Linked DNA regions of Arabidopsis thaliana. The protein of the gene in region 1 interacts with the protein of each later gene in a pairwise test. Each region holds a gene or a part of one and is shown on either strand. Other genes may lie near its edges. The genes, in order: ULT2 and KAN2.

Region 1 (4,252 bases):
ACTAGCCATAGAACATGAAGTTTGTAGCAATGCTCTGCTCTCTGCTGTTATCAAGATAAGAACAGAGCATTGTTTGTCTGCTGTACTTTGTGATAGGCAGAGTGATGTTCTGTTTTTACTATCTCATTATCTCTAGGCCATAGAATATGGAAGTCTTTGTAGCAATGATCTGCTCTCTGCTCTTATCAAGATAAGAACAGAGTATTGCTTGTATGGTGTAGTTGTTGTGTACGTTGTAATAGGCAAAGTGATGCCCTGTGTTTAAAATCTCATCTTCGTCTAGGCCATAGAACTTGGAAGTCTTTGTAGCAATCTCTATATTGATATGTGGACTGGACTGAGATATATGACCCACCTTGGTGCAGTTCCTACATATCTCTATGGAGCAGCAGAAAAGGAGCAGTGCACCCTGGATTCGATCAGAAGAAAGCTGGGGTACTTCAAGGCAAACAGGGAGGGACATGAATGGGCAGGTGGGTTTGACCTGGAGATGGTGCCACTGAAGCCAGACGCAGGGCCACAAGAGGTGAGCAAAGCCAAAGGGGTTGTAGCGGTTGGGGCGTGTGGGTGGGTAAGTAACTATAACGTGCCTGTCATGTCAAACGATCTCAAGGCAGTGAGGAGAATAGCGAGGAAGACGAGCGAGAGAGGAGGGGGCTTGGCTTCAGTGCAGACAATGGCGCTGGTGCACGGGGAAGGAGTCATAGAGGTTGCCTGTAACTTGTTGAATCCAAGCCAAGTGGGGGGAGATGAAGTACAGGGACTGATCGAGAGGCTTGGCAGAGAGGAAGGTCTGCTTGTGGGAAAAGGGTATTATACGGACTATACACCTGACCAGATCGTTGAAAGATATATGGACTTGCTCAACAATTCATAAATTTCAAAGTAAAAAAAGTAAAAACAGTATGATGTTGTCATTCTTAGAACGTATTATTACCGACATCGATCATTTATCTTCATTTTGTGTTTAGATGTGATATACATTGCCATGAGTGACAATTGAAATTAGCAAAGATTAAATAAAAAGTGAAATGATAAAATGATGGTACGTTCATTGAGAGGCCAAAACATCAGATCTCATCATTGGTGTTTTTCCTCAACAACTGTGAGAGATTTGTTTTGTGTAGCCTCGTCTTTTGCCGTGGTTCTTAAAGCTGTTGTTTTCTTAGCATTTTGCCTTGTTTTGCATATATCTATATGGCAATGCATGCAAGTCATTAACTAATGTATAGTGAACTATTGGTAGCATCGTGACCATGTGGTAATTAACAATCTTTGTCCTTCAAATTTATATATATGGAGGTTGTGGTCTATATGATTTGTTAAAGTGAAAAGACAACTGGTTTTCTATTAATTTGGTCGTAGGTGAAATTCGAGGGTCAAAAGTCTCTAAAAACAACGTGGATGAGGTGGAGTTTGGTGCGGCTCGTTATTGACTTGAGTTCTTCTTGGTCATTTTTTTGGGTTTGCAACAAGGGGAAGGAGGTTAAAAGAACATTTATCTTTTTCTGTTTTATCACTAATTATTGTGTTGTTTTATTTGATATAATCAATCAATAGGTTAAAAGAACAAGAATAAATTAAAAAATTCGTCAAAAACATCAAAACGAGAACTAATTTGAAACACAATTTAACTTCTAAACGACAACTAATTTGAAACGGAAGGAGTATACGTTACATTTAGACAAAAAAAATGTAATTTATGACATGCCTACACACATTGACGTAGACAATTAAAGGTTAGGTGTGTCCTTGTATATGTGTATACATGTACATACATATGTATGGGCACATTGGAGTTGGGCCGCAATGGAGAATAAGGACCAGATGCGACTATCATACACCTAACTCTTAAGAAAAAAAGCATTATTTGTGTACATAAATGGTAGACCCATGAAACCTGTAGAGCTCAAAAGTCACAAGTAAAAGAGAGAAAAGAAAGAAGAGAAGAGGTAATTACATGTGGGTTTAGAGAACAACTTTACTTAATCTCTTCTCTTTTATCATCAACCAACCATATATGGACAATTACAAGAACACATCTATGTATGAACGTTAACGTAGATAATATTATAAAATATTATTCTAAAAATTAAAAGATTCACAATTCCCATGCCTCACGACTTGTATTTTTCTTTGGCCACCTAATTTGCATCCATCATCTCTCTGTCTCTATAGAGAGTTTCTTTCAAATCCCCTAAAACCTAGAAAAACACCAAAGTCTCTCTCTCTTTTTGTTTTACTCCAAAAGCCTTTTACCTTTGAGATTTTTCTATATAATTGTCAGATCCTTCGTTACTACTGATGCTAGCTCCTTTAGGGCTTTTTCTCGTTTACTCATGTCAAATTACCTTCTTGTCCCTTGGTGTTTAGGGCTCTGATCCTATATAATAATACTTCATAGGAAGGAGAAGGAGCCCTTCGTCGTGGTTTACTTGGTCCCGATCGGAGATGGAGAGAGAATGTGGGTCGAAGGAGTTGTTCAGCAAAGAGGAGCTACAAGAAATAAGTGGAGTCCATGTGGGAGACGATTACGTCGAGGTCATGTGTGGCTGCACCAGCCACCGTTACGGAGACGCCGTTGCGAGGCTTAAGATATTTTCAGATGGAGAACTTCAAATCACCTGCCAATGCACTCCTGCTTGTCTCGAAGGTTCCTCTTCTTCTCTCTCACATCTTTCTATATGCATGTTCCATGTGAATGTGTATGGATTCATGATAGTGTCAAGAATGCAATGTAACTGTTCTTTGGCCTCGGTGAACTATGAGGCTGCTTGTATTTGCTAGATGTGATATGTTTCATGCAGTCTTTTAGAGTGTGGGATAACCTTACATTGTAATGTATCTCCATTTTATATCACAAGTTCGAGTTTCTTTCAAAGTGATCTGATTGACAGCTTTCATTCTATGATGGTAGACAAGTTGACGCCTGCTGCCTTCGAGAAGCATTCTGAGAGAGAAACCTCTAGAAACTGGAGGAACAATGTTTGGGTGTTCATTGAAGGAGACAAGGTTCCGCTTTCAAAGACAGTGTTGCTCAGATACTACAACAAAGCATTGAAGAACTCTAACGTATCGAAAGTCATTCATCGGGATGAGTTTGTTGGGTGCAGCACATGCGGGAAGGAGAGGAGGTTCAGATTGAGGAGCAGAGGGGAATGCCGGATGCACCATGATGCAATTGCTGAGCCTAATTGGAAGTGTTGCGATTACCCATACGACAAGATAACATGCGAGGAGGAGGAAGAAAGAGGGAGCAGGAAAGTGTTCAGAGGTTGCACTCGCTCACCGTCCTGCAAAGGCTGCACTTCTTGCGTCTGCTTCGGCTGCAAGCTCTGCCGTTTCTCTGATTGTAACTGCCAGACTTGCCTCGATTTCACCACCAATGCCAAACCCATTTGACTTCATTTCTCTAACTTATTTAATTCTTCTGCAAAAACTTGTAATGTATGCTCTGCATTTTCTTTAATCAGTAGCTTGTTACACCTGTTATGCGAGTGGAGAGACCAAGTAGGGATCACATACTGGAAAAAAAACCGACTTGGGGCTTGGAAAACTAACTTAGCACCACTACGAGGACATGAATCTAATCTAAATTCAACCATATAACCTCGGCAAATACACACAAGGCAGGAGATCGATAACAAGAAGCAAGCAGTGACTGTAATAGTATGCTGAATAAACTATGTCAAGAATAAAAGCATGAGACAAGAGCAGCTACAAACATTTGGATTAGCCAATATGTACTTGGAAGGTGGACGACATACATGGAGAAATACCTCCAACAAAAATTGGTATCCAAACCAGACAAATAGAATGGAAGGAAATAGCTCGAAAGCATATATCAACATACGTAGTGAGACAATGATTTGCTTAAATCCTGTCTGTTTCAAACATAGGATATTATGAAACACAAAACTGTCAAGAATTTATCCATTGCAGACATCATCAGATCTCAAAAGTGATGCAAATTATTTTCAAAATGAAACACAAGACCAGTCACAATCTGCTAAAAGGGAAAACAAAGTGCATGAGAATGAGAGGTCTCTCCATAAAAGGTCTTCCTGGTGACAATGAAACTCATTGTGTACTCTCCACAGGCGTCTGCAAAAAAAACTATGTATAAGGGAAGGAACCCGAAGCCTCTAGGCAATGGAAGAAGAGCAAGAGCTGAAGAGCAAGAGTAAGTACCTCTTTTTTTCCCCCAGTGGCGAGCTTGTATCCACTGTAGAAAAGTAAGCCCCAGCCAGAC
Region 2 (7,735 bases), on another chromosome or scaffold:
TTCTCTTTAATGTCTTTTACTTTTTCCCTATCATATATTCAATGAACTTTTGTGGTACGTCGTCCATATAGTATATTTCAAGAACAAGTCCCAAAATTTATACTTTGGACCTAAAAACATATACAAGATTTGTTTTACGAGAATAAAGAGATATGGTTTGCTTTATTGTATAAGTTAATTATCTTTTCGAAAAGCTTATGGTGATAGACAGTTCATATGCTTTCTACCTACTCTAAAACCTTAAGGCCAATCATAAAGGTAATCATTAATCATATATTATCTATCATTCACGTCCATTTCTTTTCTTAACAAAACTGATTAACATTTCTTTTTGTATAAAAAAAGTAGATATTCTTCTTACAACTTTACCCATTCCTTTAATATGTTTGCTTTCTTTCATTCATGTCCTCTTTTGTCATTCTTTCTTTTACACCTTTTTCTCTCTTTTCTTTTTTTCTTTCTACTTTTTTTTCTTTCTCTTTTACGTCTTTCCTTTTTCTCTATTATTATTCTTTATCTATATATATTTTTTTTTGGCAAATCTTTATCTATATTTATATATCTTTATTATCAGATTGTAAAATAAAAGTTCAACCAAAGAGTACTGAACATTTATTGTGCCTCTAATAGTTGATTCTTTCACTAGCTCTTCTCAATAGAGAAGGAAAAAGAACAGTGTGTGTCAAAGTTCCAAGACCAAGATAGGACATTAAGATTTTAAGCTAAAAAAAAAAAAAAACTTATTCAATTGATATGAATATCGAAACTAGTCAGTAGCCAAAATATAAGTTAATTGATACTAATTAATTACTACCTAGCTACAACAATAAATTTAGTGAGATCGACCCAGAGTAAACTCAAGATTTGGCTTGAAAGGGCTTGTTCCCGAGATGCTTGATGAGCTCATCTCTTCTGATGATATTCTCTCATAACTTGAGCACTTTCCATCTAGTTCCTTCTGTTGAAATTAAACCCCAAAAAGAAATCATTAACCAACTAGCTAAATTTTCTATTGTATAAATGGTTTGCATTTTTTTATATGTACTTGTATATGATATCAGCATGTGAATGTAAATAATTTATAAATAAAATATTAAGTGCAGAAATTCACGCAACATTAAGTAAGAGTGATCTCAACATTTAACTAGGGTTTAAGGTTGATATTGTATCATCCATAATTAAGACATTAGTTCTAATTAGATGTAAGCTTACCCTATTTATTGTCCTATGGACTAATGTTTGACATTGACACAAATATATATACATAATTATATTTCTTATTGTTCAATGGAAGCTGCCATGGTTTTGCTTTTGCCCATATTTGCTTATAAGCCAAACATAGATAACCGCACCTCACGGCTTAAGCTTTCACAAGTCACAATATATGCGTGTCAAAGGTCAAAACAAAAACTCATCCTGGTCAATGTCAATGAGATTAGTTTTTTTTTTTTTTTTTCGAATAGTGTCTAAATAGCGAAAATACCTTTTGCTTTTGAAAATTCCTAAAGCAAACTTTAATGAAAGCCCTTTTTGTGGCAGCCCTTTTTAGGATTTCGGGTGACTTAGCAATGAAATGATTTCGACAATGCATAACTAAATTGATAATAGTTCATATGCTACACACAAAACATATTCGCGTATATATAGTTATATTTGTAGAAAGGGATGTATCGTACCTCAGAAGGTAGCATAATTTCTGCAACATTATCGATTAACTTCCCATGCAAACGTGCTTCTCTGCAAAAGCAAACAAAAGTTTGTTATATGAGATATATTTATGATATCCGCTTTACATAAATGAATAAATGAAAATAAACTAACCAAAGAAATAAACAAAAAGAGGAAGAAAGTGAAAAGGAAGATAAGAAATTACAAGACGAAAGAAAACAAAGTGTTTTCCTTTTGGTAATAACAAAGTTATTTTTATCTCTGTCGACTGGCATGGCTGTTTGTTTAACGTAAGCAAAATTGATAACGATTTAATATTATAGTCTGACATATATATTACTTTATTTTAGTATAAAGTTGAGAAATCAATCTTTTCCTCCTGTCCATGTGTTTGCCCATTTGTTCATGTGTTAACCATTTTAAAAGAGCTTTAATTTACTTAAATATCTCTAGATAATTTGAAGTCTAAAGTAGTATATCTATTTTTGTTTTCGTTTTGTTATTGTTAAGTTAGGAAAATAAACTCACTTTATATATATACATTAGATTTATGCATACAAATTTTAGGATTTTACTAAGATTTTCATGTAATGAATCACTTTGGAAATTAGCTTTTTATTTGGGGAAAAGTTTCTTCCACTAATTCGACATATTCATAATATATATAAGTAAGATCATTATATATATATATATATATATATGTGTGTGTGTGTGTTGTTGTGACTGTGGAGAGAGAGCAACACATGATGATTAACCCATCATGTGTTTTGTCTCAACTCGGATCTATTGGGTTTGTGGCTGAGAAAGAGACAAAACAGGACTACAAAGCAGAAACATAAACATTACCCAGTTCTTAACTACGCTAATATAGATATAGAAGCATGCACATGCTTAGCGAGATTCCACATTCCATATAGTTAGTTATATATAGTAACGATGGAAAAATCATCTATATCTAGCTAGGGAAGTATGTATAGATAGACCGTACATATATGTACGTACCCGGAAGAATTGGTCCATAGACCATTTGATTTCTCTAGAGGATTCGTCAATTCCTCGCTATCTCTCGATTTTCTATTCATATCGAACATCCAGTCGTCTGAGTTATTATCTCCTGATGATCCATTTTCATAGACATCAGATTGTCCTGAATAACATTAAGAAGAAAGAAAAAAACAAATTAGGGTTCTATCAGAATCACATTTCAATTAATTATTAAATCATATATATCCAATAATTTGACCCATAAAGAATCTGAATTATTTCTCTAACACTAACCTGACGAAGCTGCTGCTTTGTCGGTTGTCTTCACTGTTCTGTACATCTGATATTATAAAAAAAAAATGTGCATCAATATATAATTAAGAAGAGACCAAAGTAAATGATAATTCGTCTAAATCCGTATATAAAGATTAGAGAGATGCATGTATCGAATTATATGGAAAAGGAAGAAGAGACCAAAGCAAGGAGACCATTGTACTGTTGTCTTCCGACACAGTTGAATAGTACCAACCAATTTTCAAAATAAGAAACATATATACACACACATTTTTATTCTATATATATAATTATATATGCACAGACACATTGGAAGATAAAAAAAAAAACGAGAAGAAAAATATAAAACTGTTCGGACACAGAAGCATTAATTGACATTATTAATGAAGTTTGCGATTTTCATGTACCCATGCATGAATTTATGTGTCTAACCATGGTTAAATTCTAGCCCATTCAACATATGGAGAAGTGGAACCATGGTTAAGTTAATAAACCCTCTCTCTCTCTCTCTCTCACTGTGACTCTGTGTAAGACCAAAACCATTTCATCATTGAGAAATGATGGTGTTTCTTGTACTCTCCCTTTCTGTCTATATTTATTATTATTAAAAAAAAATCCTACTACCTATATATTCATTTAAACTAAGAAATAATCCCTAATTAGATTGTCCTAAGATTTTGTGTTCTTATAGGCATATACAATATCTACATATACATTACAGAAACTATAATCAGGTAATCCTTAATAGATGATAAATATATAAAACATATGATTACGCAGAAACAAAGTCTAAATTTTGGTTTATAACCCAAGAAACAATGGATGATAAGAAACCAAAAGTACTAATGTTTTGATTGATATTCTTAGGAGATTTTTGTTTTTCTAATAATTAGCACAATCACTTACGTAATTTCCCCATCTCTCTATTTCTCTCTCTACCTTTCTATTCTATGTGTGTCAGTAATAGTAATATTGAGTAATTTTTGGTTTACTTGTAACAGGACAAGTTTATTCTTCCAAGACGAAATTTTTTTTTTAGACTTGCAAAAAGAAGACTGTCTATCGTCTATCTATGAGGACCATCAGATCTAACACGAAGAAACGAAGAAGAGGATTTTGAAAAATGTTTTTTTTTTTTTTTTTTTTTTTGTTGTATAAAATATGTATGGAATGTTTATATGCATTTTTCTTTTGTCTGTAACGCAACCAAGGAATGCATTATTGGTATGCAAAATTGGATTTAATTAAGATAAGAATAAAAAAAGGAAGGTTCAGAAGAAAACAAGATTCGATCTCTTCTGACTCGAGTGGAACTCTGATTTAAGGAAGTCACCGAGTCAAATGCATCGATACCCGAGAAGAAGATTATTATTATTAACTAATTACATACTTATTATGTACATTTATCTTTTTCTTCCCATCTAATTATGTACTTAATATGGATGAATTTGTAACAATACTGTTAATCAATTTACCTGTAAATGGGACTTAACATGAGCCAAGGTTAGATCTTTGACATCCATGAGCTCAAGAACTGATTTAGGTGTTGCTCCTAATTAGCAAGTGAATAAAACAAAAACATGTTTAGTTAAAAAGGGTAATTAAGAAATGGAAAAAAGAGATAAGCTTTAAGGTTAAAGGGACATACTTTCATGGCCACCGAGTAATTCAACGGCGTGAACGAACCGGGCATGAAGAGTGGTGGTCCATCGCATCCTAGGAGCTCTCATGCTTCGTTTAGCTGGGAATCTTGGCATGAATCTGGCTCTGTTTAGAGTCTGGTGATGATGATTGTGGTAATTAGGGTTACTAACGCTACTAGTATTAAAGCTATTGTTGTTTCCGGTTAGAGCCGGCGAGGAAGTGGAGGAAGAGGGTATTAGAGACGACGGGTCGAAAGGGAAACATGGCGGTGGCGGACGGTGAGGATGATGATGTGGAGGAGGGTTGTGGTAAAGTGGTATTCCTCTTATTGGTCTTAAGTGAGTATTAAGGTCGTGAGCAAGAAACCCTTGTAAGTGTTGTTGTTGCTGCTGTGTCGGAAATTGGAAAGAGGTCAAGATGTTAGAGCTGTTGCAATTAGGGAGAAGTTGTGGATGATGATGTTGTTGTTGTTGTTGATGATGAGAGATGTTAGAGAGCGAGAGGTCTTGGAATGGATGATTGATTGTTTTTGAGGTGGAATTAGAGACGAGAGAAGATGTTCTTGAATCAAGAGCTCTTCTCCAAAACCCTAAATCGAGTTCTTCATGATCTTCTTGATCTGTTGTTGATCTTCTTCTCTGCCATGTCGATGATGGTTTACTGTTTGGTGGACTTATTTGTAAGGATAAATCGGGCTGAGCAGGAAACAGCTCCATGAAAGAGACCTTTAACTTCTTCTTGAAGAGATTCTTCAGTCGGTTTCCACAGATGATGAACCCTAGTTCTTGTTTTCTTGAATTAGGACAAAGAAGATAAAAAGAGAAAGATATCCTTTTTTATTAAGGGTATAGGGAGGAAAATAGAAAAGGGTATTGAGGATTTGAGGAAGAGATTTCTGGGTTTTGTTGAGAATGTTGTTTATATTGTTTGAGGTTAAGAAGATTTTGCAAAGATTTTTGAGAGATATAGAGGGAGAGAGAAAATCAATGACAAGGTAGTATGTAGTGAATGGTTGTTTCTTTTGTGTGAAGTATATGTGAGAAAATGACACTTGAGTGTGTGTGAGAGAGAGGAGAGAGAAGGTGTTTGTGTGGACATGGGGGGCTAGAGGAACTTAGGTTAAGAAAGGGGGAAGAAAAGCAAAGGGATAAAGAAAATGAAAAGAGAAAAGAGAAAGAAATTGAAAATAAAAAAACAAAAGTGGTAAATGGTAAATAAGGCTTTCTTTTTTCTTTCTTTCTTTGCACTCTTTTGTTTTCTTTGGAGGAGAAAAGTAAATCCTTTATTTGTGTTTTCAAACCATTTTTATTGTTCTTTTCTTAGTCTACATTCCACCTTTTATTTTATCTTTTCACTCCCTTTTTTTTGTTTCTTCACTATAACCAATAAATTTGAATAAATGGAATTTTTAAAAATATATTGGTCTCATAATTAGTGGATTGCTTAAATTGAGGTTAGGCACTTCTATATGGTTTTCTGATTTTGTTCTAATCATTTCTTTAGCGATGGCCGTAAGAGGTTAAGCAAATTAGTGACCTACGAAGTTCTAAGAAAAGTCGAAATGTTCATTTTGTAATAAAGTGATTTTCATATGAAAATTCCTTCGAATGTCTTTTTCTAAACATAAATTAAGTAAAATATTCATCACATGAAGAAGAATAGAAAGGTGAAAACTTTGGAATGGTTTATCTTTAGCATCCCACACGCTCTCTATCCTTTGCTTTTAACTGAAACCCAAGGTTGATTTCTCCTTTTTATACACCCTATATTCATTCCAAAAAGAAGAATAAAATTTTAATAAAGGTTAAATCACAAATATTAAAAAGTAGGAACAAAGAAAAAGATGAAAAGTGAGAGTGAGAAAAAGGAAAAAAAGAGGAACAAAACAAAGTTTGCTTATTTTAGCTTGTATGACTCTCTTTCACATGATTATCACTTTTCTCTTCTCCCTATGTTTTTTTTCCTTGAATTATACCTTAATGATTAAAAACCCTTACCACATGTTTTTTGAATAATCTGTTTCCTCAGAGTGATGTTCAAATCAAGTCCAACATAAACTCTGCAACTGCTACAGTGAATATCTCAATGAACGATAGCGACCAATGTGAATTACTCGAGTACAATTAATAACTGATTCCAAAGTCTCATATATATATATATACGGTATAAACCAGTGTTTGAACCAATCCATTTATTACTAAATACTGCTGAATTGAAAATCTAAAATATTAATAATGTATGAAATAATTCAATTGATTTATTATTATGGTCATTTACCGAAACAAATATTATGTATTACACGTGTTTTATATTATTTACTTCAACACGTTATAATTGAAATTTTAATTTCTCATTAAAAAACTACCTAATATAAAAATAAATATAAATAAAAAGTAAAAAATAGAGTGAAGAAAGTCTCTCAAGTGAGAAACTATGAGAAACCTACGAAGACACTTGTTTATTCTCCATTGATCAAATTTTATTTTATAAGTAAAATCTATTTATATAACTAATATTTATTAAAATACTATTTTTTTTTTGAGAAATCCAAAGAGTATCTCACTGATGGAAATGCTTTTATAGAATATAGACGATTAAAAAAAAAATTGTTTGTTTGGTGTCACATTTGACAAAATGCATGCAAAACAATCAAACTATATACAAATGAAGTTTACATTCGAAACTTCAAATTAATTAGTAGAAATTTGTATCATGTTCATAAAACCAAATTTAATAGCATGTCATACAAAAAGGATTGAAACCTTCTAATTACAGCCAATATTGTTGTTCTTTGTCAAAAGGACAATCAAAATATTTAAAGAAAAAAGTCCAAACCCAATCAAATGCCTAATTTTAAACAATAGTAATTTAGCTATATTGATTTACAAAAAAGTATGAAGAAACCAATAATCACATCACTCACTACATGGAATAAAAGAGAGGTTCATTGAATAACAAAATTTGAATGCTTCAATATTTGATTGACTCTAAAATATTGTCGAAAAGTTATTTGAAGGATACCTGCAAATTTATTACTAGAGATTAAAATAAGGGATGTGTTCAGTTTAACCCATATATTAAATCATCGTGACATAATGGTTAGTAGTGCCGATGACTTAGGCATAGAGATCGGCAAGATACCTCC

Evidence for each region.
Region 2: the proteins of ULT2 (region 1) and KAN2 interact in a two-hybrid assay, tested with the Arabidopsis thaliana proteins (one study listed by BioGRID).

The regions. Positions count from the first base shown.
Region 1 is NC_003071.7:8,964,995-8,969,246, reverse strand, and holds ULT2 (Developmental regulator, ULTRAPETALA), read left to right. Parts: upstream 1-2,003; 5' UTR 2,004-2,451; coding exon 2,452-2,653; intron 2,654-2,917; coding exon 2,918-3,402; 3' UTR 3,403-3,691; downstream 3,692-4,252. Other genes in the region: AT2G20830 (folic acid binding / transferase), read left to right, coding at 366-877; AT2G20820 (uncharacterized protein), read right to left, coding at 4,010-4,104, 4,192-4,225. UniProt on the Arabidopsis thaliana protein: Putative transcription factor that acts as a key negative regulator of cell accumulation in shoot and floral meristems. Negatively regulates the size of the WUSCHEL (WUS)-expressing organizing center in inflorescence meristems.
Region 2 is NC_003070.9:11,625,050-11,632,784, forward strand, and holds KAN2 (Homeodomain-like superfamily protein), read right to left. Parts: upstream 5,697-7,735; 5' UTR 5,307-5,696; coding exon 4,595-5,306; intron 4,525-4,594; exon of another isoform or gene 4,499-4,524; coding exon 4,422-4,498; intron 2,993-4,421; coding exon 2,947-2,992; intron 2,816-2,946; coding exon 2,671-2,815; intron 1,738-2,670; coding exon 1,677-1,737; coding exon of another isoform or gene 1,617-1,676; exon of another isoform or gene 959-1,616; coding exon 833-958; 3' UTR 567-832; downstream 1-566. UniProt on the Arabidopsis thaliana protein: Probable transcription factor that regulates lateral organ polarity. Promotes abaxial cell fate during lateral organd formation. Functions with KAN1 in the specification of polarity of the ovule outer integument.